Alligator mississippiensis: one gene and its partners. The main gene of each other region encodes a partner of the protein of the gene in region 2 in a complex. Links are inferred from orthologs where the notes say so. Each region holds a gene or a part of one and is shown on either strand. Other genes may lie near its edges. The genes, in order: IER5, PPP2R2A and ARPP19.

Region 1 (8,616 bases), on a different chromosome or scaffold from region 2:
ATCACACATTTACATGCTTCGAGGACAGATCATCCTTGTCAAAGGCAGAGTTCTGATGTATCCCAGAATAGCCTTTACTGCTGGTATTTCCAATGTTGCCAATAGTTAAGTTACAGAGTATTTGGTTGGTCATCTATTATATTACACAACTCCTCCTGGAAAGTTAGGATGGATGGAACCAGTGCCAACTGGTACTGAAAGGAAGCTCAGCTTCAGGCTTGTCTAACACAGGGAGAGTCAGTGCCTCCTGACCAGCTGGAACATGGACCTTTCTTCAGTTGTTTGTGGCACAGAAAGCCCTTTAGGGCTTTTATGCATATGGAGCTGTTCCCAATTAGCTCCATGTGTTGACATTTATTCCAAGAGAATGCTACTCCCTGTTCAGCCAAACACTTAGCCCTTCAAGTTGAGTAGGAATGGCTCCATGTGTTCAAAACACCAGTACTACAGAGAAGCTCCCACCTGTTGTCAGATAGCTTCTCAAAAATAAAAAAGGAGAGAAAAAGGTAAGAGTGAAACCCACTGACTGCAGGTTTGAATAGGAAGACCTTGTCCAAACAGAAAAATGCAGGGGGAGGTTTGGTGAAGTACAAGAGTTCTCTTCCCTACACCTTCAACTAAGTGAAGTAATTCCACAGAAGCCAGCCAGCAGGATAGGAGAATAGAAAAAAAAGACAGCTATGTAGACAGCCACTTAAGGAGCTAAAATAAAACAAAAACCCACCACAACCCACCCCCCACCAAAAAAAACAACCACCAAGAAAACCAAACAAACACACACACCAAACCAAGAACACACACTAGCTACATTCCCACTACACCCATTACACCTAAAGGTGACCCACTTGAAATGGAAAACAAATCAAACGTGGGCCTGCGAGGATAAGTGGAGAATATCCTCCCATGGGTATATGAAGTATCAAGATAGCCTCAAAGAGGGTTGGGGAAATTTCAGGAAATCAGATTTTCTCTTCAGGCCTATTAAGAAGTGGTAACATTACTGGAGTGTGATACTGCAAGTACCAAGAGGGGTAAGGGAATAACAGATTTGTGTTTAAACTTCAAATCAAACACTTAACTCCTACAATACTCTGGGAGAACAGACACCCCCCTTAAGAATTTAGCTTCCTTGTAAAGATTGAGACAGAGAGAGACACAGAGACACTATCTTATTTGAAAAGGTAAAACACTGTCTCTCCCCAGAGCCTTCTTTTATCTAAAAGAGTGTACATTACCAAGCATGACAAACATATCATGACAGAACAGAGTCCCTTCTCTCCATTGCTGTTTTCACTCTGCTCTTTCTGTCCCCTCCAGTCTTCTGAGGGACAGGAACTGCATAGCTGCACATCCAATAGTGCAAAACCCTATGCCTCTCCCCCCCCACACTGCTCCTTTCTAAGCTAGGGAAGGGAGGAGGTGTCTCCCATAGACCAAGGTTTCTGCAGTTGATTTAAATGATTTTCCCCAACATTTCTGCAAACTGAAGGATATCCTAGATTGCACAAGACTTTGTAAGGGTTATTAACTAAAAAGGCTGAAGTCTCTCTAACGCCTATGTATCATCATTAAACTGACCGTATCTTGTTAACAAGAACAATTAAATCTGTCTATTCCCCACTGTAATTATTACTGTTCTGGTAAGCCAAAGTTAATGGTGAAAAACAAACAAAGTAGTAGTTTCTCAATGGAAAAGACTTCCACAGGTTATAAGTATGGTATAAGAAAAAAGAGAATTCTTTTCCTAGAAGCTTTTAGTTGACCAAGTTATTTATATTACCACCCAATACCTGGGCTGACTGGACAAGATAGGACAACAACCTTGACTGTTAAGAAAACGTTAGTTATTTTGGCAGTGTAGCAGCTCTTGTCATATTGACTTCTCAGTCCAACTAAAGGAGAGGTTGGAAACTGATGATTTACACATTTTTTTTTATTAAAAGTTCAAATGCTACTGCAGCACTATTCTCCCCCCTCCAACTCACTACAGCCTTACAAGCAATCTCTGGATTTTTTTAAACAACAGAGATGGCAAGAGACCTACTGGGCATACCCCAAGTCAAAACCCCCCAAATTCAGCAGGCAGTTTGCCAAGCCACAGAGCTGAATAGGGAACAAGCTACAGCAAGAGGTATTTCAGATGACCTGGAAAAAAAAAAAAAGTCCTGAGAGGGACTCTCATAATCTTGCCCTAACAGAAGCTTCCTTTCTTCACAGCTCCCAGAGCTAGAAACAAAACCACCCAGACCCTCTGGGTGGATCCAGGACACAGCCACCACACCCTCCTCATCTCCCATGCCCAGCTCTCACCCTTCCCACCCACTTGGCGGCTGCATAAACGACTACAGCTGAACAGTTGAAAATATTTAATACGTGTTACACACGTAGCAATACAATTTCTAATACAAAAAGACAAAATACATCACGGAAGGAGAGAACACTGTACTGTACAACCCCCACCCCCCAGAGAGCCCCAAGCCTTTATAGAACAAAGGCCGGGAGTCCTCCCGCCTGCTGGAGAAGGCTCAAGGACTTGCCCCAGTGTCTGTAAACGTGGTTCTGCTGCATTAAACTCTTGGCAAAAAGCACCATGTAAGTCGTCCTGACCTCCAGCTTCTCCAGAGGCAGCTTTGAGAAAACTTGCCAGGAACTTCCAACTTTCCTGGCTCAACTTACTGCACCCCAAGTGTCTTGGGCCCCCAAGGATGGGGCCAGGGAAGGCTGGCTTCGAGCAGCGATCGCAGCAGGCAGGCACGGAGGGGCTGCTCCTGCCCTGCTCCCTCCAGTGCAGTGCGTAGGAGGAGCGAGCGGGGGGCTCCCCGGCGCTGCTCCCCACTTCCTGCCTGTTTGCAGAAGGAAAGCCCCTTCTTCCCCAGCTGGTGCACGGGTGCAGCGCAGCGCTCCGGCCTGGGGGCACCCCGCAGCCCGGGCCTGCGGGGCAGAGTCCTGGGCGCGGGCGGTCAGAAGGCCACGATGGCCGTGCTCCAGGGGTTGAGGTTCCGCAGCACCGGCTCGTCGCAGCAGATCTGGCCGGGTTCGCCCGTCGCCGCCTCCCCGCCCGCTGCCGCTGGTCCGTCGCCGGGCGCCCCTCGCCGCCGGCCCGCGGGCTCCTTGCCGAGCAGTCCCGAGAAGCTGGAACCGAAGATGCTGATGAGGCTGGCCACGTTGCCCGTCTCCATGTCCTCCGCCGGCTCCGGCTCTAGTTCCCCCTCCGCCTCGCGGCGCGGCTTCTTGCGCGGGCTGCCCGTCGGGCCGCGCTCGGCCGCGCCGCGCTTCCGCGGGCAGGGGGGCGGCGCGGCGGGCTCCTCCGCCTCCGCCGGGCAGCAACAGGGGCAGCGGCGCGGGCTTGCGCAGGCCGGCGGCGGCGGGTCCCAGCAGGCGGCCGGGTGCGGATGAGGGGCGGGCCCGCGGGACGCAGCGGGCGGGCAGCCGGGCTCGCTCAGGTAGACCTGGCGGGCGCTGCGCAGCACCAGCGACACCAGCAGGTTCTTGTGCAGCTTGAGGCCGCCGCGCTGGCCGCGCGCGCTGTAGATCTTGCCCAGCGAAATGCTGACGATGCGGTGTGCCTCCAGCTTGAACTCCATGGGGCACTGCGCGCCGCTCCCCTCGCAGCCAACTGAGCCAAGCCCACGCACCAGCCGCCGTATATACCGCCGCCGAGCCGGCCAATCAGGGCGCGGCGCCGGGCGCTCCGGCCAATGAGGAGGGAGGGAGCGGGTTCGAACGCGAGTCCCGCGGAGCGGGCTCTTAAAGGGGCAACGTCCAGCTGCGGCGCCGCACACGTGTGCGGGTAGGGGGCGCGTTGGCCCTGCTGCTCGGGTCTCAGCAGCTGCGGGCTGGGCCGCGTCCTGGGCGCTCCGGGGCGGTGGGGCACTGTGAGGGGCCGAGGCCAGGCTCGCCCCGAGGCCTCTGCCCCGCAGGAGAAAGGCGGGCGAAGCCTCTCTCTTAGCTGTGATCTTGCCTAACGCGTATACCGCGTGCCCAGCCAAGGAACCGGCCCCACTTTCCAGCCCACCATCAGCCTGTCGCTTCCCCCCACCCGGTGATGGGGCCCCAAAGCTTCGCTGTGCCCGGCTGTCTGAACCTGGTGCCACAAGAGCTGTGGACCTCCAGCCTGCTCTCCCTAGACCAAAGCACAGGGAGCAGCTAGAAATGGAGGCTTAGCCAAGGTGGCAGTGGGCCAACAGCAGCCCAACACCAACACCAGGCCAATGCGTCAGTGGAGTGTCTGGCTTTCAGCGAAGCTCCCTTGAAACCCCCAACCAAAATCTGATGCCTTGTCAGTTATCAGCCACAAAACCAGCCCTCTGCATGGTCCGAACACAGCGGTGCCCCTATCCTGCACTCAGGGTTGCTTGCCTAATACTTTCCACTGTTGCCCTCAGTTATTTATAGCTTTACAAACTAACTTTTAGGGCTGTGGTTTTCCACTCCCACTATTGGTCTCTTGGCTGACTGAGTTATTTTGGGGAGGGGGAAACTTTAGCCAAGGAGATTCAGCTATTTCTGCAAACAAGGTCAGGGAATACTTTTTCCCCTTATAAAAAACTCTTAGAGCAGATTCACGAAGAATACCCAGCATCACCATGTTTTGAAAGGAGAAACCTGAGATCTGGGATGAGAGCACCACTGCCTTCTCAGGGATGCGCCTTCTAGTATTTCACCGGACAAACAACCTAAATATAACCGAGTTCTACAACTCTGAAAAAAACTCTGTTTGTATGCGTTTGGGAGAGACTTGTTAGGGGCATTTGGTAATTAAATTCCCATCAGAATCCATCTGCCCAGAACATGCTGCAGCCCCTGGGCACTCATGTGGGTGACATGTCATATCCCCACTGAATCAACAAGTGTGCACCAACCCAGAGCTCCTGGGTGAAGAATAACTCCCTAGAAATTGTGCCTCCCAACTGTTGCTGTGGTGCCAGGCACTGCAAACTATAGCAGAGTCACCATCTATGCTCTTGATGCTGCTCAAGGAACAAGGATAATAAGCTGCTTGACTCCAAAGCAGGGAAGAGCTGGGGCCCATTTAGGGTACAGGCAAGACAGAGCCATCCTCTAGGAGTGGGGAAATACCAGCATAGAGAAAGAAGAGCAGAAGCAGGTTCCAGAGCAGGAACGGGAAAAAGCAAAGGTAGAGGCGCACCTCTAGAAACCCAGGCAAAGAGGGAACTCAAACTTGGGACCTCAACCTTAGCAAGCCAGCTCACCTACCACTGGGCTACAATCTAGTGGCTACCAACATGCCTCCCACTCCACCCCTCAGTGGGCAAGAGGCATTCCAGGGAACTAGGCTGGAACCGAGACCCCTGCAGCACCACTAAGAAAACGTGGCCAGCCCTGGTGGCCATTCCAGGCTGTGGCCCCTGCATTTACTTGGATGCCATCCAAGGCAGCAGCCCCAACTTCAAGCCACCCCTGACCTGAAGCTTCTGTTAGACATGGGAAACTTGCTTCTCTCCAGGCCTCTGCCAAAGGAAGGGGACAAGGCACTATGCTCAAACTGCACTTTGTGCAAGTCCCTGATATGGAGAGGGTTTCTCTAACCTGCTGAGTCTGCACTGGGCTGGGCCAGTCCCAGGGCCACTTCTGGGCTACAGGAGGACAAGCACTGAAGTTAGAAGCCATCAGACAGGTAAAAGGACTTAAATGCAGACCTTCACTTTGGGCCAGCATATAGCCACAGCACGGCTAGGTGTATTCACCTGGAATAGGGAACAGCTGGGTTCTAAAACTCTCCTCTGCAGCTGAGTGAGAGGCAATGCCTACCCCAGGCTGAAGCCCTGCCCTGAGTCACCAGGCTGTGCTGTCGTGCTCTTTTCTTCAGGCAGAAAGGACAATAGAGCTTTTTGGTTCGAAGCATAGTCTTTGCTTCCCATCTCAAGCCTGCTTGTAGGGGGTTGACTCAAGGGACACAAGTCTGTACTGTGTATCTCAACATCACAACTCTGCTGCTGACCCAACTTGGGGAGCAGTTTGGTTCCATGTGACAGAAATTCTGTTGTGTCCAGCTGGCTTTTTTGAAAGCCTAAGAACTTACATTAAAAAATAGAAAATAATATATTACGCCTGCCAAATTAAACATTCAAAAGTCAAGTGATGCAGGAATTAAGGCTGTCTGTGAAAAATGTAATTCAGCTCCTGCTGTGCATAGTCTTTAATTACCTGATCACATTTCATTTTTTCCAGCATACCTCTCTCATTCAGTATGTAGGAAGGATGGTCCTGAGGGGATGTATTCACAACTGCAATTTAGGTCAGTGGGAACTATGCTCTGAACATATAAACTGTCATATAATACTAAGCACTCTAAAAATCAGGCCCTATATAGCTCAACCTGGGCACACAAATACAAAGGCTTTTCTATGTAAAACTACACGTAACTCTCACCTGTCCATTGTTACATATCAGTAGTTAATAATCCACTGTTGATTGCAGGGCATCTTATACATTTCTCTTCTATAGCCTTTTTTTAAGATAACATACAAAGTCTCTTCTCACAAAACCATACTGTCTGTCGATTCTACTTCTCTAGATTGCTGCTTGTTACAAATCACAGTACTACTTGCCACACTTCTGGATTTCAGAAATATCTGTTTTCTAACACTAGTCAGAAAAAGACAGAAAAAGGAACAGCATTTTTTTCTGAAGCACTTCAGACTTCTCCCTGGATTCCTAAGTATTTTTCTCAGCCTCCACTGGCATGCTAACCAACATATGAAGGCTATAAATGGAGTCAACTGGGGGTGGAAATGGGAACATCTGTGAGCTGAAATGCAGCACACAAGGAGAGCTTTTACAAGGAGCAGAGTAGAAAATGAACCATTATTTTGCTAAAAAAGGCAGACTGTCCTTCCTACATAGGCAAATACCCGGATGGAATTTCTCCATAATCCCAACAGAGTCCTATGTGTGTGGATTCCCCAGTAGTTACTGAATGTATTCCTATTCCTTTGGTTGTATTCTTTCTCTCCCACACACAACAATTCACCCTTTATGCACCAATGACTCCAAGTTAGCCTGTCCTGAGGTAGAAGCTCACTAGCCAAAAGTTATGCCAGCCATTTTTCCTTTCAGGAGTACTGTTGAACCAAATGCTGGCTCTCACCCTAAGAAACCCCCCCGCAAATACATTAGACAGTATCTTAGACTGGAAGAGCTTCAAAATGTATGTTTTCCACTAAGTCATCAATTATAGTTTAAATCCAAAATGAGTTCTGAAAACAACAGAACCATCTCCCAAAACATGGTTTGGTATCCCCTAGCCTCCCCACAAACCCAGCATAATACAATTCTCATTACTGTAATTGGGAAACCTTAAAACATGCCAAACTGTGAAAGCTACAGTGGTACAAAATCTCTTTTTATGACTTGGAAATTCTTTCACTTTCTTCAACAACAACAGTCTTTCTCAAGTTATGGAGAACACCGCAGTCATGTACATGCCTCACAAGTTGTTTGTTCCCTGTGCAGTCTTCAGCAAACAAAGAAGGAGAAGGAAGTAGGATCATGTGAAGGGAAATGACTGATATAAGGAAAAGAATTGGCTCCCATTTCTAGACCCAGTGAACCAGATTCTGTATCATGATCCTATGCCTCAGGACGTTGACAGCTCTACCTCTTAAATAAAGACCTAACCAGAAAAGCTGAGTCTGGGACTGAATGCTTGGAATTCCAGTTGGTGGTATCTATCTATAACAGCCTTGTTCACATTTGATATATTGCCATGTGTCCAGGATGTGACTGGCGGGTGTTAGGCTGTTACAAGTCAAGTTAAACTCTTTTTTGTGACACCAGAAGAGTCACAGATTCTTCAGCTTGCAGGATCTGGGTCTGTGATGTCACTCAAAGATGATTCCAATTTGAATGTTAAGGTTTGTTAGTCTTTGTTTAGGGGAAATTCATATTGATTTCCTGATGCATATACCTGATGAATAAAGTGATCAGCATTGGTGAGGGAGTGCTTTCTTTACCCCAGAAACCTGACTTTCAGTAGCTCCCACACCTGAGTAAAGCACCCAGCCTTTGGAGTTTACTGATTCATTTCATCACTGAGTCCTCAGAAAGATTGAGGTGAATCAAGATTAGAGACAGAACAGTGCCAAAACCTGAGATATAAAGCCTCCTCAAAATGTTGGAACTAAAGCCACATTATTGGTGATGTGCTACCAACATTTTAACCGAAGACTCATGCAGGTATTTCTACTGCATCAGCAGTAAAAGTGTTATTCCTTGGGTAAAAAGCGTCTTGTGAGATAAAATCTGGTAGTGCTGAAAAATCGTAGAGATCCTTGCTTGAAAAACACTTGTTCAGCACTCCCTGGCAGCCAGGATGATTGTCTTCCATGACTGTCTTATCTGTGGGTCCAAAGATGGCTGATGAGGCTGATAGGTGAATAGCAGACTCTGTTGCAACTTGGGCTCATGTTTCTGTGTGGGGTGGGTGGCTCCGGATTCTTGATTCACTCTGCGAGACTTTTTCTGCTGCTCCTGTTTTTCCCTCTCCTGTTGTCATCATAAGGTTTCAAAGTATTGAGATCCTTGCAGCAGACTCTTCCTCCATTTGTAGCAATCCTGTGTGATAGTCTCCCATGAGTTGATGCCAACATTGCC
Region 2 (10,157 bases):
TGAGTAAAAAGTGACTTTCAAGCCTGACAAATCCATTAGGATCCAGGATTCTCACACAGAAGACACACTTCAGCAGCCCCTCCATGTGCACAAAACCAATCAATTAGGCTCTGGCACACCAAACTGAGGTTTGTTTGTTTTTAATAAAAAAATACAAACCTATTTCAAAGTTTAAGAAAGTAAGCATTGTAGTCAATTTTAGTCCCTTTAAAACCATAACATACTTTCATTTTATCCAAAGATTGACTTTTACTTTCTGTATATCAACAGAATGAACAAAAATGGACAACATATACACAGATTAAAAAGTCACCAAATGCCTTGATGAAATCCAAGCTAGTTAATACACTCACAGCTAAGGATAATAAACTCCACCTATTGTGACGAGATATTGTAGTGGTCCAACTGTGCCAGGAAGTTGGCAAATCATCTTTCATACTATAATGCTTTGGAACAACTAAGGACAGAATTTCATGGCTCTCAGATTTCTCTATCATTGGAAAACCCATTCATACACAGAAATGCAGAAAAACACCACTATTACTACATGGAAGGGATGCAAACTGTCTGGGTTATATGCCCAATCCATTAGTAGGAATATTCGTGAGCAACTGCTACAGGCAGTCACTACTGCCCCAGTTTTTCTTCATTTAATTAAGAAATTAGCTAGCTAAAGAATTCCAACTGAAACAAAATTCACCAGAAAAAGATACCTGGCAGGGGAAATACTTAACAGTAATCTAGAAATCAGGATTTAAGAATATTTACTGAGCAATTTGATGTTTTCTGACAAGAGACACATACTTCATCTTTCTGTAAGTGCCTGACAATCCTTGAATGGCATTATTATTGTTACATGTTGCAACATGCTTCCTGAACAAAAACCACAAACAAGACAATTGTGCTGCTACATTTGTAGCAATTCTAGACAACATTTAGCCTTTCACAGGTTACTTCAGGGATGGGCAATTATTTTGGCCGCAAGTCCACTTAAGGAGTTCTGGTGAGCTGTCCTGGGGCAGAGTGAGAATCAACACCTCCCACTCCTACCCCCTGCAAACAGCTCACCAAAACTCCCTCCCTGGCTCTGCCCCACACTTGGCCCGGTGGATGGGATGGAGCCATGGGCAGGTAGGGGACAGAGGGAGAGGTGAGCGGGGCCAGAACTGTGATCAGGATCGAGGGGCCAGTGCCCCAAACCAAGCCATAATCCACTCTTTGCACACCCCTACAACAGGTGCCGGCTCTGCAGGAAGGGGCGTGAGGGAAGCATATTGCGACTATGCCCCAGGCCCCACACTCTCACTGCCCAGCAATCCCAGGGTCTCCATGGAAACCAGCCTGGGACCCGCAGACAGGGTGCATTCAGGCAAACAGATGGGACCACAGGTGGGCAAGGGAGCAGCAGCATCTGGGAGTGGAACAGGCCAGCGGGGCCAGGGCTGAGATCACGGTGCTGTGAAAGTGCAGGGCCAGGGGAAGCGCCTCAATATACTCGCCCCACACCCTTGCCTGCACAACTGGCACCCACTGCAGGGGTGTACAGGCAATGGATTGGGGATCTGCCCTGGGGCCCCAGCCCCACACTGTCACCACCCCAAGATTCCAGCCCTGCGTCCAGCCCCACTCCCAGATTGTTAACATCTGGGAGTCTGCCTGCCCTGCTCCCAGATGCCCTTCCTCACCCACCCATGGCCTCATCCCATCTACCTAGCAAAGCACGCCCTGCCCATGGGGGTCCTGGATACCCCACACATCTGCTCTGTCTGGCAACCCCAGCAGTGGGTGTGGGGCAGACAGGTCACGGTGCCCTGGCAGCAGGGTTGAGTTTGGTAGCAGAGACTGGCTGTGGCAGCTGGAAGGAGGTGCTGCTGCAGGGACTGCTGGGAAGCGAACCCAGCTGCTACGCTGCCGCAATCATGCTGCACGCCCAGAGGCACGAGGACCGGCTGCACATGCCATAGCCTGGACTGCCCCGAGCCTGGGACAACAGGGCTGAGGGATCCACCATAGGCCGGATAAAATCCCTTGGCAGACTGGACCCAGCCCATGGTCCATATTTTACCCAGCCTGGAGTACTTCAAACCACAACTCAAAAAAAGCTGAAGTAATAGAAAGAATGTTAATTACTTCTTTCCTAGAAGCAATGAAAATCTAACACTTGTCTGCAAGTTAGAAAGTGCAAAGCCTATACAATGCTGACCCAAATTACATACAGTGAAGACAACTCCCTGCAAGACAAAATTCTTCTAGTTCCTGATCTTGCAAGCTGGTCTGTGCAAAACAGATGCTTGGGTATCCAGCCCTACAGAGCAGCATGCAGGATCTAGGCCTCCATTCAGCCTAGCCATCTGAATGGTGAGAAAGGGCTTAGGCAAAGCAAGTAACATTTGAAAACTACAAGTGGAATTTTTCCCCAGAACTGAAACCAGGCTCATTGCTAAAGTGACATCCATGTCTGGCCATACAAGAACACCTGACTACAAAAATTTAAGGCTGTTTTTAATAACTTTAGTCCTAAAAACAAAACCTCTCAACAATGAATGTTTAATTGCTAAAAGGTTAAGATAGTCTTGATGGTTATGTATGACAGAAAGATCAGAACAAAGTTAGGTGACTTATCTAGCACCGTCTGTCTTTAGAAGTGCTACACAAACATTAATCAATCTTCAAACACCTGTGCCAGGAATATGAACAAGCATCACTATCTATATTTGATGGATGTAAAAAAACCCCCACAAACAAATAAATAGCAGTGTCACAACTGAGAATAGTGGCCATTTGACAGCAAGTTGTGTAAAGCAACACACGGACGAAATGTGACTGAAAAAAAGTCCAGTCAGTTATAGACACCATATCTGAGCTTGGACCCAAGCTGGACCCACCATACCCCAGATGCAAGTCTTGGAGTCTAAATATACATAAACTCAGATATGCATTTAATTTTTCACTGCTTTTACCTACTTTGTTATAGTTATATAAAAATAAAGTTCAATTTTCACAAAGACACTTCAGCAGAGAAGATTATTTAAAAATGTTTGCCACTGCCAGAACTGATAATGACAGGTAACTTAAAGAAATAAAAGTTCTTTTCTTACCTTCTGCTACATCATCATCTACAGCCCCTTTCACCTGAGAAAAACACCACTGAATATCATTTCCTCCTCCAGCTCCTGGAAGCAAAAAAAAGCAGCAGAGACCCCAGTTAAAACTGTTTGCAAATTTTATTTGCTCCAGTTGAGGCAGCATGCATCTAGGGCTGGCAAGCAACAATTCAGAGCCTGTTGTACACACCCACCACCAAGACTTCCCAAGCCAAAGCAGAGCTGCCAAAATCTTGATTACAAAGTGCTTCCCCCAAAATGATACCGCTTGTCACTCGCAATTTGTATTCAAAGCACAATCTGGCTAAAGTAGTGCTAAGAATGATCGAAGCTTTTCACTACAATTAGATAAGTCATAAAACTACCAAAATAATTACAATTAAATGTTAAACTATGCTATGTTTAAAAAGAGAACGCATGAACAATGCTATGTGAAAACAAAAGAACAGCAGCTTATTTCGCATCAAAGCATTTTTCCACTTCAGAACTTCAGTAAAACCTAAAAAACAGATCTCTACTTACAAGTGATTTACATTTAAAAATAAATACTAGGTCCAGGAATGATTTTCAGAACATTACAAACATTTAAAACCTTTGCACATCTCAAAGAAAACTGACTTTCATTTTGGCTGCCTTAAAATGTTACAACAACTAAATACTTAAAGACTAGAGAAATTTTACAACAACTCTGCAATTCCCCAACAGAAGTACCAGGAGTAAATATAAGGCCTAGGGAAGAAAGAGAAAAAGAGAGAGAGAGACAGAGAGAGAGAGGAAAAAGAGAGACATCAAATCCCTGAAATCTACCTAAAGTTAACAAATGTAACTACCATAGAAAATGGATCGAAGAGAAAGCTTCAGAAACATTACTGCTTCAGCGGAAGGCAGTGATTCATTTGAACCTTGCCACCAAAACATGCAGGAATCCACCACCCATTTCTTTTACATTTCATGCTGAGCAAATCACTGGGCTGGTACATACAGGAAGAGACTGAAATGAGCTTGCTCTTTCTAAGAGAGACTTCCCTCCCAGCCATGATAACCCAGGACTAAGCAACATATGCAGTTTGCAAAGTGCTTGCTAAACCACTTCTGGGGACAAGGGGCATGCAGGAAGGAACAAGTTAAATTAAGTTTAAGAATGAAGAAGCAAGCTGCTTTCTCCGTGAAACATCATCAACAGCCAGCCTCAGCACTAGGGAGGGGAATCCAGCATTTGAAATGGATCAGACAAGAGTCTGAACTTGGTGGTTCTTTAAGCACCAAGAGATTAGTGAATTAGACTGAGCTGCAGCAATAGGAAGCATCACGAAGATGTTCACCTATGAAAAATACTTGCTTGGAGTACACCCTACCACACCATCTCTCCCACCTCCCCAAAACCTGAATCCTCAATTTCTCACTTGTACCCAGCCTCTGATATTTGTTATTTAGCACTTCACATCATGGAAGCATTCTGAGGATGACATTTTGCAGGAAAAGCCACCACACCTTAACTATCAAGCTGAATTTCATTTTCCAAACAACTTGCTGCCTTCAAGACCCTGTTTCCATTGATTAAAAAGACAAGGATGGGTGGAGAGAGGGGAGCTGTAGTGTAGGGGAGAAGGCAAGATGCAAACCTAAACAGAGCCTCCCCAAATGCAAAGAATAAAAAATGCAATTTATTTGCAGAGAAGGAGGAAGAGAGCACCGAAAAAAAATAATTCAAAGGGGAAAAGTAAAAAAACAAAACAAAATCGTGTCCTACCAACCACACTTCTGTACATGAAGTAAAGCCATTTGCAAAATGGGGAAGAAAATGAGAAAGAAGAAAAAGAGAACCCCACCCCCACCCCAAGAGCAGGTATTTTTTATTTGAGAGTCTGATTTGACTCTTATCTGCAGATGTCTTATAGGTGAGCTCTACAATAGGATGCCAATGCACTCAAACACCATTTTCTGTCAGCCCTGTCTACACCGCCAGCACCAGCCTGCGCTCCAGGGAGGCGGCGGGGGGTGGGGGGGGAGAGATCTGCCGGCCCAAAGCAGAAAGTCGAACAGGGAATAAAGGAGAGACCCACCCTACCCGGAACCCCCTTCCACACTCAACTTCAGGGCCACAGGACTTCCCCCGCCTCACCCCACCGCTGCCCTTTTGCAACGCAAATCTTTTGGCAGGGAGGGGAAGCGGCGGGGGAGGAAGGAAGGAAATCAGGAGCGGGAGAAACGGACTCTGCACACTGCGCTCCAGGATGCAGGGAAATGCAGGAAAAAAAGAGGAGGAAGGGAAAGAGGGAGCAGACATGTGCAGCCCCAGGAAGGCTCCCTGCACGCGCCCCGGCCCCGTGGCCTCAGCTGCGCCCCCTTCGCTCCGCTCCCCGCCCTCGCCGGGCTGCAGCGCCCGGTACCCGGGAAGGACGGGGCTCCCTTCCCCTTACCTGCCATGTTGGCCTCCCAATGGTGGCCGGGTCTGATAGTGGCACGTCTCCGCTCTTAGAAGCGCCCCCGTTTGCCGGGCGGGGGGGTGCCGCGGAGGAGGATGGCGGCAGATTGTACCGGGGGGGGGGGGGGTGAAACCGACTCGGCTCCTCGAGCTTCGCCCGCTCTTGGCTCCCTCCCTGCCCCCCCCTCTAAGAGTCTACTTTCAAAATGGCGCCGGCGGAGCTGCGGGTGACGTCACCCGGAGCGAGGAGGGAGGGGCGAGAACGCCGAGGGGGCGGGGCGCTGATTCGGTCTTGCCCGCCCCCCCCCCCCAACGGTCGCCCCCAACCGTCCCCCAACCGTCCCGTGAGGCGACCCCCGCCCCCACGGCCGCCTCCATGTCGCCTCGCCGCGCCGGCCGAGCCCCCGCGGAGCCCCGGCGGGGCCCGCCCAGGACTCGCCTCCCCGCTGCTCGGCTCGGAGCCTCGTCAGTTGCAGCCCCGCGGAGGTGGGTGCGAACTGAGCGCGGGGGGCGCGGGCAGGCGGGCCCGGCCTCGCGAGCCCTCCCGCGCGGCGGCTGGGAGACGTGAGCACCGCACAGCCCCGGGCCCCGGCCCGGAGCCACCCCGACACACGTCTCGGCACCTCCCCCCGAGGCGGCGGCTGGGCTGCCCTCCCTCCCCCACCCCGCCACGGCGCCGGGGAGGGGGAGCAGCCCGGCACCGTCCTGCCAAGGGCCCCGTGCAAGACTGCGACTGAATCAGATACCCGACAAAGGCTCCCTCCGACCTGGGTCCAGAGCCGCTAGGCAGCAGGGATGCACCCCGGCCAGAGAAACCAGTTGCATTGGCATCCTCAGCCAGCCTCCTCCAAAATTGAGGGAGCTTCTTTGTAAGCTTCCTTTTGTCTCGTTTTTAATCTACATGTCACATCTCAGGCCAGATGGGCTCCAAATTGCCCGCTAAACAGAGCTCAAGTCTGGTGGCAGCAAGTGTCCTACCTTTCTGCTCTTCAGCCCAAGGCTTCAGATGCTCCCGAATCCGCGGGAAGCATGCAAGCCCCGAGCCTGGAGGCCTTGGGGCTCAGGTGCTCCCAGTCCCGCTTCCCCATAGCCAAAATGCTGAAGGAATAAGCTAGCAGCAGTTCCTGAACTCGGACAGGTTGCACACCGTGAGTTTTAAACAATACAGCCTGAAGTACCACCAGCAAATTTTCCAGTTCAACCACCAGAAAATTTTGGTCACGTCGAGTAATTATAATACATCTGTCAATGTGCACCACTGGTGGTACCCGTGCCACAGACTGGGAACCACTGAAAGCCCAAGAGCAATTGCCCAGCACCATAAACGGGGTAGGCAAGAGGCTTTCGTGGACTCTAGCAGGGGTCAGCCTACCTGCAGTGCAAGGGACAGGCCGTTACCCCACACCAAGTCATCCAGAGCGCAGACAGAAGTGACATTTTTTTGCCAGATCTGGCCATAGAAAGCAGTTTATAGCGGTGACCAAACATAAGTACATGGCTGCAGACAGCTTCAAAAATGGCCAATCACGTGAAAATCTGACCCCTCATTGTATGCAGGGTCAGTCAGATCAAGACATTTGGAAACAGAGTCTTTTATAACTTCTGTCTGTACTGCCTGCCAGCCTGTAGCTGTTTTCGGGGCGGGAGGGGGGGGGAAAGGGAGCAGAGGAAATTCAGTCTGGGGGTATTTCAGCCCCTGCTGGAGTGTGGGCAGGTGTATTAGAGCCCTCCGAGGTTGGGGGGCTCCAGTACACCCACCCCACCCTCCAGAAAAGGCTGGGGAACCCCTAGAATGAGCTCCCTCTGCTCCCTTTCCCCTCTCCCATCCTGAAACAAACAGGCTGGGCCACTGCTAGGGGAAACCAGGGGCAGGTTGGCAGCCAGCAGCTAGATTCCCCTCCCCCTGGAGCCAACAGTGAACTTCAGTTTGTTCCAGGACATCAGTTGTAACTCAGAAGGCTTCCTGCAAAGCCTTCTCAGTTACATCTGGGAGCTGCACTTCTGTCTGTACCCACAAGGTGGAGAAAAAGGGTAAGTAAGTAAGTAAGTAAGTACTTACTTTATTTGTAATATACTTGTAATATCCCCGGCCAAGTGAGTAAAACCACATGGGCTGAAACCATCATCATGTTATCTCCCCTGCCACGTGTTATTTGTAGGCATCAGAGCAAATCAGAAGTCCAGAGACAAATTTAGCCAAAGCTTAAGGATATTCATAGGCCAACAGGATCACAGCTTGTTGGATGCCTGGGGAGTTGAGGGACAGCCATAAAAATATAGTTCCACATTTCCCAGAGCTCGGGGGACATTATGATCTGCTCCACCTCTATGTGGTAGGTCTCTACAAAGGGCTGTTCCAGCCTGGACCAGATTTAAAATTTGTAATGAAATCTGGTAAATCCCTATTCTTTCAGAATGACTTGACAACATTCTGCACAGCTCGGAGGAAGACATCTTGCCAACACTTAGTGAGCCTCCTTTGCAAATAGGGCTGAATTAATCCATTAATTTGGGCTTCAGAAATTAATTCAGCCCTTGGCATGGAGTTCCTGTGGATTAAAAAATCCTGCAATTAAAAAAAAAAAAATGCAATTAGAGCTTTATATCGTGGATTAAAGAAACTATTACAACTTGTTGTAACTAGCAAAGTTCCTCTAGAAAAGATATGACTCTTCACTTAAACATTGTGAGATTAAAAAATACGTTTTAGTATTATAAACAACTTGGCTACAGAACATAATGAAGTCATATAAATAATTAACATTAAATCACAGCCTTATTACCTGGTGGAACACCTTTGTGATGTAGTCTTTGCTTGTATGCATTTGGTGATTTGGCAGTCATATGCTAGTGTAAATTATTAGTGCAAAATTACTACAGTTTCACAAAATTTCTTAACTACATGCATATGCTTCACTAATTTAAACAGGGGAATCATATGTTCACTACCTATGAAATTAGAACTATTATTAGTAATTATAAATATTACATTTATGCAACAAGTTCCAAGGAGCTTTTCACAGCACAGAGCTTTGTTAGACATATTTACTAAATTAATCGGTAAAAATTATCATGTAAACTTTATGAAAAAATAATACAAGTTTACTATTTACATATAAATTAAACTAGGTGAAAGTTCAGGGACATAACTACTAATTACAGTTTAATTTAGTACAGTTGACAGACATAACTTTTAAGCAACTATGAGCTTTGATTTTAAACTTGGGGCCAATTTTGCTAAGTGCTATACAAAGACCAGAAGATGCACTTTACCCAGATAACTTACTATCTAAGTCCTTTACGCTGCCCATTGTGGCACAGAGAATTTCATATAGCAGCTGCAAATTTACAATCCAGACACCTCAGCTCCATAGCCAGGCCTCATGTACTTAAAGAAAAGCAAAATCTCTGCTAGCCGGTAACAATAATGAAACTAAGATGCATAGCCAAGTAGTCCTCGTTAATGGCCAGTAGTATATACGTACACAGTAGATAAATCATCACAATTGTAATTTAAGTAAAACAATCTAAATTAATCTTGTTGAATAACTAATTGAAATATATTAAAATTGAGACGATCAAACCTCTCTCTAAAAAACCTCCAAGAATAAAGTTCTGTATGTGCTGTAGTTTCTTAGTAATGTGACCCATAGACAAGAGTATAATGAATTACAACAATCCTAGAAACAAAGATGCTATTATCACAGAATAAAGAAGTTTGTAATAGCCTACAAGTGACCTTAGGCTCTTCTATCTATCAGTGCATATAGTTCCCTACAGTATGTTCTCAAGTAAACTAGTTTCCAGTTTGAATGAATGAAGCTTCCATCATGTTTTGCAGGTAGAATATTTTACAACTTAAGGGGGCATTGAATAGGTGAGCCATATTCTTGCAGCACTACTTGAAGTCAAGGATTACATAAATATGGCCAGCACAGCCAAGGCCCTTAGTTGTATTTAAGCTAAGTGGCATGGTAATTGGCACAAACTGATACATTGGCCATATGGGTTTTCCTTCACAGTCAATCCAGTTTCACTCCTCTCAAATTAACTGATCTGTCAAGCCCTGAAAACCCCTAGTCCCAGTGGCCAAGGGAATTTAGCCTTAACTGTTCAAGTAAAGGTAAAAACTAGCATGCTTCCAATAGTCTTCAGCCCCCAATCACTAATGCACATGCTTATACATAGAAGTAGTCCCAGTGAAATCAAAGCTAAGTAATTGTGCATGTGCAAGTGTCAGAATTGTATCCTTACCCACAACTGCTGGAACTACCAGGAGCCATCCTAGCAGTCTGATTATTAAAAACATTTTTCTTTTTATTTAGTGTTGTCTCTTTGGAAAGGTATAGAAGTAAAATTAAAATAGCTAGCAAGTGAGTACATGGAACTAAGGAAGCAAAATTCAGCGTCTGTATGGAATTTGACCTTTCCCTTTGCAGTCACTGGACAGCTTAGCTTTTTAGCTAACATCATCAGTAAAAGTGGAGAAAAATGACACATACCTTGCAGGTCACTTTGTAACAGTCAGTGGTTCCTTCTAGAAATCTATTTCCCCAACAAAATAAGATCTAATGGTACTGAGTGGCTTTAAGCCATTCACCATTGAACATACCCCTGAAATGACAGCA
Region 3 (10,797 bases), on a different chromosome or scaffold from region 2:
ATAATTAGTTGGAGGCAACATCCCAATAGATTTTCAAAGGCTGATAAAATAAGACTGAGTAACACGGTTGTGATAGAAAAGACCAAATGATTCAACATTTTGAGATTGTGGCCTCATTCCTTTATCCTCCTCCTCCAAATTTGGTATTCACTACATATATATCACTAAAGAGATAGAGCTATATTAGCGTACCTACGCAATTTATGTTCACTAAATCAGATTATTTGTACATCAGAATATTCTTTTCATTAAGACAGAAATTCTATCCAGCTTAAGACTCTTAACGTTACTTTTCACTGTAGCCAAGATCAAACAAATTTTGCACACTTAAGGGTCACAAATACTTAGGGGAGACCATATATGTTGGTTGTTATAGCTCTTGCAGTCTTAAATGGAGAAAAGCTCAGTAAAACCAGTTCCCTTTGAAAATGGAAGTCACCCAAAGGTTTTCTGACAGGAAGCAGCATTACATGCATAGCAGTCTAGTCCTGCCACAGCCACCATGTTATATAATCCCTTTCACAAATTTATCATACTCCACCTTAAAGCAATTATGGTATTTAGCAGTCTGTCCCCCGTCTTGTGTGTCATCCCCGTCCCCCCCACCTCTTACCTTACTACTCCCATTAGAAGGCTGTTTCCAAACATGATGGTTCTAATGGTTAGGAACCTCCTGCTAAATATCCAAGCTAAATTTATTCCTGACTAGTTTATATCCATGGCATGTCAACAGTACCCTTTAGTTTAAATAATTATTTTCCCTCCGATGTTTCTCTTTTGTGACTCAACCTTTTGTTTTTGGCTTGGCTAAACAAGCTTTTAGGCTCATCTCAGTGATTTCCTCTACACCTGTTCTGATTTCTACGTATCCATCAAGGCTGACCAGAACTATACAGTATTTGGGTAAGGACTCACCTGGGCCTTGTATGAAGCACTGACATTTCCCTATCTTTACTAGAAACCCCATGCCCAACTCATTCTAGGATCACACTGCCAACCCAGTGCTCTTTGGATTGACTGTACTGCCAGTTCCAACTGAAGAGCTCCTGGTTTACAAAATTTGTTGTTAGTACCCAAGTGCACAACCCTAGAGTTGGTTTCAACCCATTTCTACTACTCCAATCCTTAAGATTGGAGTAGGGGTCTGACTCAATGATTTAATAGAAGCCTTCGGACCTTAGACATCTATGAAACCTATGAAGATAATCAATTTCTTTCTTAATATGCCAATCTTTCCCTATATAGTTGACTTAATTGGAGATACTGTTAAGACTTCATCAGCACACTTACATGTTCCAAGGTCCTTAATGAAAATGCTAAACAAAACTGGTCTCAAGACCAAGAAACTTAACGTGTTGTTAAAGCTAGGCTCCTCAACAAATTTTCCATAGTCAATAAAATAGATTTACTGCAACCCAATGCTGAAAGGCAGCCAAGATGGCTGACACAAAAAATATCAGCTAAATCAGGCTTCTCAACCCGCGGATCACCACCCAAAAGTGGGTCACATGAATGTATGAAAGAGTGGCAAACAAACTTTAAAAAAGGATGAACACTTTTTTTTAAAGGAAAAAACAATGGAAAATCATGGTGTCTCCCTTGCATGCTGGCAGAATTCCCCCCAGACCGCACCCCCCACACACACACACACCAGGGGCCTGCATGTTGGGAATGAGGAGCACTGGGTCAGGACTGGACATTGATGTTTACAAACAGGTCCTGGTACAAAAAGGCTGAGAACCACTGAGCTAGATGACTGAATTTTATTAGTAGATGTTTAGGATTGTGAATACAAAAAGATGACAAAGCCAGTAGGGAAATACAAATCACCTGAGCAAGGGACTAATATTAGAGGGATGGGGGTGAGAAGGGGAACACAACTAGGTTACAGACACTGCTGCTTAAACCATCATCTGAGCATGGTGTTCTGCATATCAGAAACACCAAAACAAACCATTACAGAAAATAAATGAAAGTTAATCAAACAACACAAACTATTGTAGCAAAGGTAGATATATTCAATACAGGAGTCAGCTGCCACTTCAAGAGGCTTTTCTTAACCATATAGGCCATGTCCACGTGAGTGTGGACGTTTGGTTCCCTGGGGATAACCAGCAGCGGCACACCTTGCTGCCAGCTGTCCCCAGGGAGAATGCCTATGCCACATGCCCTCTGGTATACAGGCTGCCCTAGGTAGGGTAGGGGAGGCTGAGGCCACCCTTACCTGGGGTCCTCCTGGAGCTGCAGCAGTGGCAATCCTGCTGCTCGGAGCCTGGCTAGCAGCTGGAATGTGGCTCTGGCCAACCATGCTCCTGTTTTAAGCAGCGTACACTGTCCCCACATGTACCACTGCTTTATTTTGTGTGGGGTTTTTTGACTCCTGGATATCCAGGGGTCAAAAAACCCCACCATGCTGCTCCCTTGCAGTATAAAGAACAGCTGAATGGGCAATATGTGGCACCGTTCACATGTTTGTGGGGGGGAGGGGAGTTGGGACACTGTGTGGGAGTTTGGGGGGCACTGTCTTGGGCAGGAGAGAGGAGGAAAAAAAAACACAATAAAACCACCTCCAGTTTAGATGCAACCAAAATTTCAATTAATATTCAACTTATTTAACATTTTTCACCCCTCTATTCTGGAGCGCACAGGCTTCAAGATTTTGTTGTACTTTTTTTTTGTTGGGAAAGACCCTAGCACTAAATCCCTGGCTATTTCAAGTTTAAGACCATTTCCAAATATATACGGTTTATTTGCTGGTCAGTTTTTTCAATAAAAGACAGTTTTGGAAAGTAAAATGGTTGTAGTGTAAACAGTTACTGGATTTCTGTACCATTTACCGAAACAACATTTAGTTCTGTACTTTAAAATTTTATACAGTTTTATTCTCAGGGTGTGTAATTACTTAAGTAGCAAAAAGCTACAGTTCTGATACAGTAGAAATATGGTAATTAGTCTAGAATATGGCACTTGTACCTGGGAAAAATATTGCCAAATCTTTAATTATTTCTAGTTCTCTTTTATAAATATGTCATTTTATTTGCTTGGGGGAGGGTCCCAGCTCAAAGAGCTCCTGAATTTGTTCTTTGTATGCAAGATGGTCAAATGTCTCAAATCCTTACCATAGTGCACATTAGGGACCAAGAGATTTTAAAGCAAACAGCCCTGAAAAAAAGTTGTTATTCATTACTATTAGTTAACAACTGGGAAACATTCATGAGACAGGTATCCCCAACTTGCAACACAATACTTGAAGGAACATTTAATCTGAACCACCAGTTCACAAAATGTGGGATTAAAATGTGTCCTGTTTCTTAAATGTTAAAAAAACTTCTGTCAAAGGCATTTACAGAACTCCAATAGCACAGTGCCCTGGCCTGATGCACAGTGGGCCAGACTGTGCAGTCACTTAGTGCTTGCTTAACTGTATCAGTCCTTAACCAAGTACTAAATGACTGTGCAATAACCACCATTACTGTGAAGTCCCGGTGCCACACAGGTAGTTTCTGATGCTACTGCTCAGTAGTGTCAGCATCACAGTTCTTACCCGCTGAAGCTATGTCACCATAGCAACAAGCTACCTATAGCTCATCACTACAGCGATGTAGCGTTTCGTGGAGATGCCAGTCAAATTTAACTTATTTTTGATGATTGGTGAGTGCATTTCACTTTGATTTAACTTAATGCTTCATGCTACCTGTTTCTAATACAATAACTCTTGCAGCCAAATAGCACCAGTGTTGGACTTCCAAACAACGTTTAGACACGGATGATGCCCATGTCCTGAAATTTGAAGGATCCCATTAGAAACAGTCTCCAGATTAAGTCACTTGACTTGACTCAGAACTGTATGGAAGAAATTGAAGAGTGTTTTTGCATGATTTCCTACAAGTGTTCTCCTGACATATTTTCATTGAAAGACAAGCAAAATAACTCTTTGAGTACATTATGGTTACCTCTTTAATACATTTTGGATATTTTTTCCAATAAATGTTTTCCAAAGCTAACCATCCCTTAATTACAGAAAAACAGCAATATAAAATGGTGAAATACAGGAAAAGGGGAAAGAGGAAGGGGGGGTTGAGCTAGTTAACATAGTGCAATCAGTCTGCTCTTCCTACCTGCCCAGCCAGATTAGGTCAGCAAACCCGAAGACTGGATGAAAGACTTCAAACTGTAAATCAAATCTATCCCCAAAGCTTTGACAGCAGAGGGGAAAGTTCAAGCAACATCAGCATTTCAGGAACCCTTTGCGACTGCTCGGTCGGGGAATGTTTCCTGAGCAGACCGCAGGGCTGGGACAAGACCAAAGAAAAGCAACTCCAAAAGGAGCACAAAAAAAATATAAAAAAGAAGGAAAGAGGAAACTCGATGCCCGTGGGAAAAGGACGAGGTGCTCCTAGCCACGGAGCTGCGATGCCCCCCCCACCCGGGCCAGCTCTAGTGTACGGGCTACAGCCCCGAGCACGGGGCGCGGGGGGAAGGTGCGCACGACCGCGCAGGCGCCGCCCCCCGCGGGCCTCAAGCTGCGGCGGGGCCGGGGGCACTGTCCAGGAGCAGAGCTCGAGCGGTGCCCGCAGGCCCCGGGAGCCAGCGCCGAGGGGGCGCCATGTTCACCGCGGCCACAGAGCCGCCCCGCCCGCGAGAGGAGGCGCCGGGCGGCCGGGGAGGGGAGGGGAGGGGAGGGGAGGGGCGGGGCGGCGTCTCATCGGCCCGGGGCCGCGGCGGAAAGGAGCCGGCGGCTGCTAGAAGCGAAGCACGGAGCCGCCGGGCCCCGGGAGCGTCCTCCCCCCACCCGTGGCGCCCACCTTCTGCTCCTCGGCGGACGCGGGCTCGGGGCTCTCGGCGGACATGGCGCCCCCGCCAGCTGCAGGCGCACGAAGGGCTGGAGGAAGCGCCGCCGTCTCCGCCGCTGCTGCCGCGCGCCGACCACCTCCCGCACAAGATGGCCGCCGCACGCCCGACGGAGAGCCGGCAGGACCACACTTCCTCCGCGCCGTGCTGCCCAGCGCGCCGCCCGCCTCCGGAGTGAATGAGCGGGAAGGCGCTTCCGGCTCTCGCGGGTTCCGCTTCATGACGTCACATCCACTCCCGTCCCCTGGTGCATGACGGGAATCGTAGGAAGCCTTGCTGCGGCTGCATGTCCTCTGGAAGAGGCACGGGGGCGGGGCTCTAGGGCACGGCCGGAAGGGGCGGTGCCGCCGGCTGCGCGCTGGGCTCATCCTGGGCGCTCCTGCGGAGCGGGGCCAGGGCTAGAGCCCCGCGGCTGGGTGGGCGGCAGCGCCGCCTCGGGGCCCAAATTGCTCCGAAACTGAGTAATCAGCGCCCGTAGTAGCTATGACGTATTTTATTAGACCAACAAGATTATCGCAAAAAAATTCTTTTTGCAATAATCTTGTTGATCTAAGAAAAGATACCATCTCTTCTACGAGCCCGGATTGCTTTTTCCTCTAGACCAATAGGGCTACAGCCTGGATACTTGACGCATCCAGAACAGCGTCAGCCTAGCTTTGTGCAGCTCCTGAGGCAGGGCTGCCCTGCCCGCCCCCGGGACAACACGCCTCTGCCCTCGGGTGCATTGGTGGGGTGCATGCGGGTGCACGTGCACCCCATGAGATTGACCACCACCAACGCTGCCAGTGGTGCCTGCGGGCAGCTGCCACTCGCCGCCTCCCCCACCTCCGCTGCCGGTGGCATTTGCCGGCAGTACCCACTTGCTGCCTCCATGACCCCCAGCCTCGCGAGGCATGAGGTGTTCATGCTCAGGTCCCACCAGTATCTCTAACGCTGGCACCCAAGGGATGGCTTCTATTAAAGCAAGACACACATTGCATTGCCTCTGAAACACATGGCCCGGGATCCGCAGTCTGCAACATGGAGTTGCCACAGAAGCAGCTTGGCCATCAGGCTAGGCAGGGCTCTCTTCTCATCTGCCCCTTCCCATGACTTGGTTGCAATTCAAGACTTACAGGGGCAAGCGTGGAGATCCATTTGCAGAAGCCTGAGGGCCAGGTGCCTTGCCAGCCCGTTACACAAATACTCAGGGAAAGCGATGGAATATTAGTAATGTTAGTATAATGAATATCTGATATTAGTATCTGCAACCTGTACCTCAGATATTAGTATTTGCTTTCCATTTCCCACTCTGGGAGCTGACTGCTACACTCACTCTAGGCAACTGTCAAATGGAAGGACATCCTTATTGTAGTTGTAGCCTGGGCTTGGGATCACACATCAAAAAAGCCTAAGCCTGAGCCTCTACCACTTGGGCTCAAAAAGCAGACTGAATACAAAAGCAGTAGTAGTCATAAACCTTAGTATCTGGTCTAGGTGCAGGGAGTGACAAGCATTCTGTTAGTATGAATTAGACACATAAGGTTTGGCAAGTTCCTCTGAAAATCTTGCAGTGAACAGGAGGAGACCTGGCTTCTATTGCCAGCTCTGTCTGAAAGGACCTCAGGTTCTTTTACCTTCAAATGTGGCTGCCATCTTTGGGGGTAACTGCCCCTAGGTATGTTAACGGCAGAATTGAAGAGCTGGAACTTAAACTCCTACTCTCGAGATTTTCAGCACCCTGCACCTTCCCCAAGATCAGAGGATTCTAGTTGAGAGCACTGTTCTGATCTTATAACTGAATGAAAGCTCTTCACACCATCACAAGGTAGCCTGACCTAGGGACCAAAAACATGTTATTTCCATTAAATTCATGAGAGCTGGCAATACCCTATAGAGTACATTATGTTTTTCTCTCTCCTGTTGGAATTATAATCAGCAGCACTTTATAGAGTATTAGAGAAACCCCCTAAGGTTTTTGTTGTTTGGCTGTATTTTTTTTCTGCTGGGAATCTCAACTCCAGCCTTGCCAGTTTTTGCTTTCTTCTGGATGTGCCTCATACAGCTCTTCTTCATAATGTTTCAGACATAAGTTTAGGTTATGAACAGAATTTCTTTAAGCCCTTCACACATTTATTCTGCTGTTCTTACACACAATATTTACCCTATAGTCAGTCCTGCACATCTCTGCAATTAAGTCAGACAAAACACCCAGAAAGAAATAACCAGGAAAACTAGTCTCCCTTAGATTTACTGGTAGATTTCTAGAAGGCAAGATCTGTGGAGTTCTCATCTTAATGGAAGGAGCACAGACCCACATGTTTAACCAGGATTCATAGGCAGAGGGAGAAAAAAAATATTTGTCGGGGCTGAGCGTGCACGCATATTCATGGACCTCCCTTATACAGGTAAGTCTGTGGAGGAAGCAGTGGGGGGAGAAGAAAGGGCCAGGGTGTGGCGGGCAGATCGAAGCCCCAGTGGTGAGCGAGGGAGAGAGGCACAGGCAGGAGCAGGGGCTGGGGTGAGTGGGGCCCTGGGGTGGGCTGGGGCCAGACTGGGTGGTGAGACAAGTGGAGGCCCAGGGGGCATGTGCCCCCTCAATCTGTGCACAGGGCAGAGGCAGATGCTGTTGCTGCATGCTGGGCTTTGAGACCCCCTGGCCAAATTGCCCTGCAATGCTGTATGCATCCCACTGCTGGGCAGGCAGGGTGCGCGACACAGCCTAGCAGTGACAGGCACATGGCATCAGCCACTCCCAGGGCAGCTGTAGCAGGGAGCAAAGCGCAGAACACAACAGCAACGGCAATAGCAACTGCCTCCACCCCACACACAGATGGGAAGGCATGTGTCCCCCAGGCCTCTGCTTGTCCCACCACCCAGCTGGCCAGGGCCCCACTCAGCCCAGCCCCTGCTCCTGCCTGTGCCCCACTCCCTCCCTCACCACGGGGGCCTCAATCTCCCCCCATCCCCCACAGCCGTGAAGGAGGGAGTGGGGCTGGGGATTGAGCCCCCCACAGTGCAGGAGGAAGAGGGGCAGGGGGAATCATTCACCCCTGCCCTGCCCCACTTCCTCTTGCACTGTGGGGATTGTCACATGACCTAGCCCAGCCCCCATTTACCGTGGGGCCCCAGCTGGGCAAGATCGTGGGACATTTGGAACCTGGTGGCTTGTCCAGGGGCTTGTGGGGAGACGAGGCTCCCACCGCTGTGCACAGTGTGGTCAAGCCAAGGTAGGGGCACATGCCCCCTGATCTGTGGGCAGGGAGGGGGTAGGCTGGGTTCTGCTCCATGCCTCTGCACATGCCCACCCCCTCCTTTAGCCCCCCCACGATGCATGCAGCAGCAGGAGCACCCACCCCCACACCCCTAGATGGGCCGCCAGGTTCCCACTGTCCCATGACCTGGCCTGACTGGGGCCCCATTCACAGCAAATGTGGCCCTGGCTGGGCTAGGTCCTGTGACAATCCCCACAGTGCAAGAGGAAGTGGGGCAGGGCAGGGGTGAATGATTCACCCTGCCCCTGCCCCACTACCTCCTGCACTGTGGGGGGTCTCAATCTGCCCCTCCCCCAAGCCCAGTCACAAAGACAGATTGAAACTTATCTGCTGTGCTGGCCAGCCACACACCAGGGCTGTATGCACGCCCCTCCGCTCCTGCTGCAGCAGCCTGCGACCAGGCTGCCCTGCAGCTATATCTGCTGCCCTATGTTTGCAGGGGTGGGGTGGGGGGCACTGTGCCTTGGTAGCCCCATCTTCTGCCACCTATGCCAGGATTTCCTTTCTCCAAAGCCTTTGAAGTTACTGGCAAATAGGTAAATGTCCTTTTTATGCCAATAACTTTGTAAAAATAACTACAAGACTTTGGATATCAAGTGGGGAGCATCCAAAAACTTTTGCAAAATACTGAAAAGATTAAGCATTAATATTAAATATATGCTTCAATTTAAGTCAAGAAAAGTGAAAAGGGTAGCTTTCTCACTAGCTCAACTATGCATGGCACCCCATAGCACCCTTGTAATGTTAGAACCGTTACGTGTGCAAACATAATTCACAAGATAAATCCAGAGATTTCAAATAAGAATCCATAGCATCAAAAAACATTCTGACCAATTACTTTGGTACTTTTCTCGTCAAAACAAGTGAAAACTAGAAGCTGGCCTTTTTCCAAGGGGTGCCTTAGGCCTAAAAAGGTTGAGAACCAACAATGACACACTTAGCTTTATTTTGAAATACTGTTTTTATGAAAATAGGCTGTCATGTAAACTGCCTGTCATGATCTGGGGAAGTGCTTTGTTTTAGGGAAGTAGACAGGTAGAAGATAAAAAAAAATCATTTGCTTGGCTTCCCAGTATTTACTAATTTTCCAGTATTTACTAATGCAGTCCAACCTTATATAACCACCTAGGGCCCCTATACTCGAGCAGACTCAATTAATCGAGTCTGTTGGAGCATGGTAATTACCATGCTCCAGCAGACTCCAGTGTCTCATGTATCAGTGTACCTGCACTTAATGGCAGAGGGGGTGCTTTAACTAAAGCTGCTTCAACGAGCATTAGGTAAAGCGCCCCTACCACCATTTTAAACCACAGGAATGGTGATACACAAGACACTCTGGGTGCTTTAGAGTGGCTCTTGAAGCCACTCTAATTAAAACATCCCCTACATGTATGTGTATAAATGCCCCTGCTAGCCTAAGTTGGAAAGGGAAAAGAGAGGGGAAGAAGACATCTATCAAATATACCTAAACCCACATGAATATATTCCTCATCTGAAAATAAAACCAAACTACAAGTTTCATAGTTTCCGCATATATTTAGGATATAAATACTAATTTGTTTGCACAATACATCTTTTTTTTTTCCTTTAGACACAATTTGAAAAAATCAGGTATGGGAGAGGAATTTTATGTGAAATGTTTATACTGATAACTAGAACAAAACAAAACTCTTGGGATTGTGGCCCTTAAGTGAAAAAAAGAAACACAGGGAACAAAATATGAATTGGGTCAATGAGTTGAACTAGTGAGTAGCTAAAACACATTCTGCTTTATGATTGTAAAGAGATGTTAATAGAATCTGTGTGGAAAGCAATGAGAATGAGGTATCATCAAAAACTAGAGCATTAAAAACAAGAGGAAATCCACATGCTTGCCTAGGATGATAATGTTATGGAAGTTCAAATTCCATCCTCATTTTCAATAACTTAAATGAATATCACTTAAAAACACATCACACAGACTTAAAGACTTCTGTATATATTTCAGATTTCAATATTATTAATGCCAAAAATACATAGTATGATTTTACATAGGATTTATGCTACATTAGAACACTAAAGACAAACATCACTTGAGTATTAAATGAAACATTAAATATTAAATAACTGAAAAATAAAATAAAAGGTGTAAACACTAAACTAACTTGGGATTTTGCTATTGCAACACATCCAATGAAGTGGTTTTAAACAGTACAAAAAGATTAGACATAAGTATGCTTCCAGTCTACTTGGAATACACAAAGCTCACTCCAGAAATCTTTTACAAAAACTGGTCCAGAATCATAGACGAGCCTTGTCTCTCACTTGAGCACTATTTTAATTTCTTTATGTATTGAATTTTATACTGCATTCTATGCCAATCTTTGTTCTTAGACAGCAATCCGATAGTAAAATGAATACTTCCATTTTCAGTATTTGCTAACATCTTGGTGAGAATTGAGGGTTTGTTGGAGATTCAGTGTATGATTTGAGTTCATATGCAGCGCCGCTATCAACTTCCATGGATTTCCGAGAGAACAGGAGCCGTACATCTCTGTGGAGGTAGATCTTTCCAGATTTAGAACTCTGGAACCTAAAAAGCAATATTTATACAGTGTAAATATTTTCTTTTAATGTTGACTAGCTGCTAACCATCCAAACAGATTAATCTTTCTCTACCATTTCTCAAGTGTGTAAATTAAAGGAATTAAGG

Evidence for each region.
Region 1: the proteins of PPP2R2A (region 2) and IER5 are in contact, whole or in part, in a cryo-EM structure (PDB 8UO5), measured with the Homo sapiens proteins. The link is inferred for Alligator mississippiensis from reciprocal best matches to the Homo sapiens genes PPP2R2A and IER5. Residues at the interface, in NP_002708.1 of Homo sapiens: Glu91, Ile92, Glu93, Glu94, Asp116, Tyr178, His179, Asp197, Leu198, Met222, Leu225, Thr226, Glu227, Val228, Thr230, Ser247, Phe280, Phe281, Glu283, Ile284, Ser287, Cys334, Tyr337, Glu338, Asn339, Asp340, Phe343, Lys345; in NP_057629.2 of Homo sapiens: Ala7, Arg9, Ile10, Ile13, Ser14, Lys17, Arg25, Gly26, Lys29, Leu30, His31, Lys32, Leu34, Leu35, Val36, Leu38, Val39, Leu40, Arg41.
Region 3: the proteins of PPP2R2A (region 2) and ARPP19 are in contact, whole or in part, in a cryo-EM structure (PDB 8TTB), measured with the Homo sapiens proteins. The link is inferred for Alligator mississippiensis from reciprocal best matches to the Homo sapiens genes PPP2R2A and ARPP19. Residues at the interface, in NP_002708.1 of Homo sapiens: Lys18, Gly19, Ala20, Asp23, Asp24, Asp29, Ile31, Thr45, Asp47, Gly49, Arg51, Val53, Phe55, Val73, Thr76, Gln78, Glu81, Pro82, Glu83, Phe84, Leu87, Lys88, Ser89, Glu91, Glu93, Tyr178, His179, Asp197, Leu198, Asn221; in NP_001293124.1 of Homo sapiens: Lys42, Pro43, Gly44, Ser46, Phe48, Leu49, Arg50, Arg52, Leu53, Lys55, Lys58, Tyr59, Phe60, Asp61, Lys75, Pro93, Asp97, Leu98, Pro99, Pro103, Leu105, Val106, Ala107, Ser108, Lys109, Leu110, Ala111.

Annotation. Positions count from the first base shown.
Region 1 is NC_081828.1:52,564,866-52,573,481, reverse strand, and holds IER5 (immediate early response gene 5 protein), read right to left. Parts: upstream 3,636-8,616; 5' UTR 3,585-3,635; coding exon 2,961-3,584; 3' UTR 2,352-2,960; downstream 1-2,351. UniProt on the Homo sapiens protein: Plays a role as a transcription factor. Mediates positive transcriptional regulation of several chaperone genes during the heat shock response in a HSF1-dependent manner. Mediates negative transcriptional regulation of CDC25B expression.
Region 2 is NC_081830.1:23,494,530-23,504,686, reverse strand, and holds the start of PPP2R2A (serine/threonine-protein phosphatase 2A 55 kDa regulatory subunit B alpha isoform), read right to left. Parts: upstream 3,987-10,157; 5' UTR 3,972-3,986; coding exon 3,935-3,971; intron 3,174-3,934; coding exon 3,099-3,173; intron 1-3,098. Other genes in the region: EBF2 (transcription factor COE2), read left to right, coding at 5,906-6,015. UniProt on the Homo sapiens protein: Substrate-recognition subunit of protein phosphatase 2A (PP2A) that plays a key role in cell cycle by controlling mitosis entry and exit. Involved in chromosome clustering during late mitosis by mediating dephosphorylation of MKI67.
Region 3 is NC_081834.1:23,355,180-23,365,976, forward strand, and holds the start of ARPP19 (cAMP-regulated phosphoprotein 19), read right to left. Parts: upstream 5,013-10,797; 5' UTR 4,851-5,012; coding exon 4,806-4,850; intron 4,545-4,805; exon of another isoform or gene 4,119-4,544; intron 1-4,118. Other genes in the region: ATOSA (atos homolog protein A), read right to left, coding at 10,524-10,677. UniProt on the Homo sapiens protein: Protein phosphatase inhibitor that specifically inhibits protein phosphatase 2A (PP2A) during mitosis. Inhibition of PP2A is enhanced when ARPP19 is phosphorylated.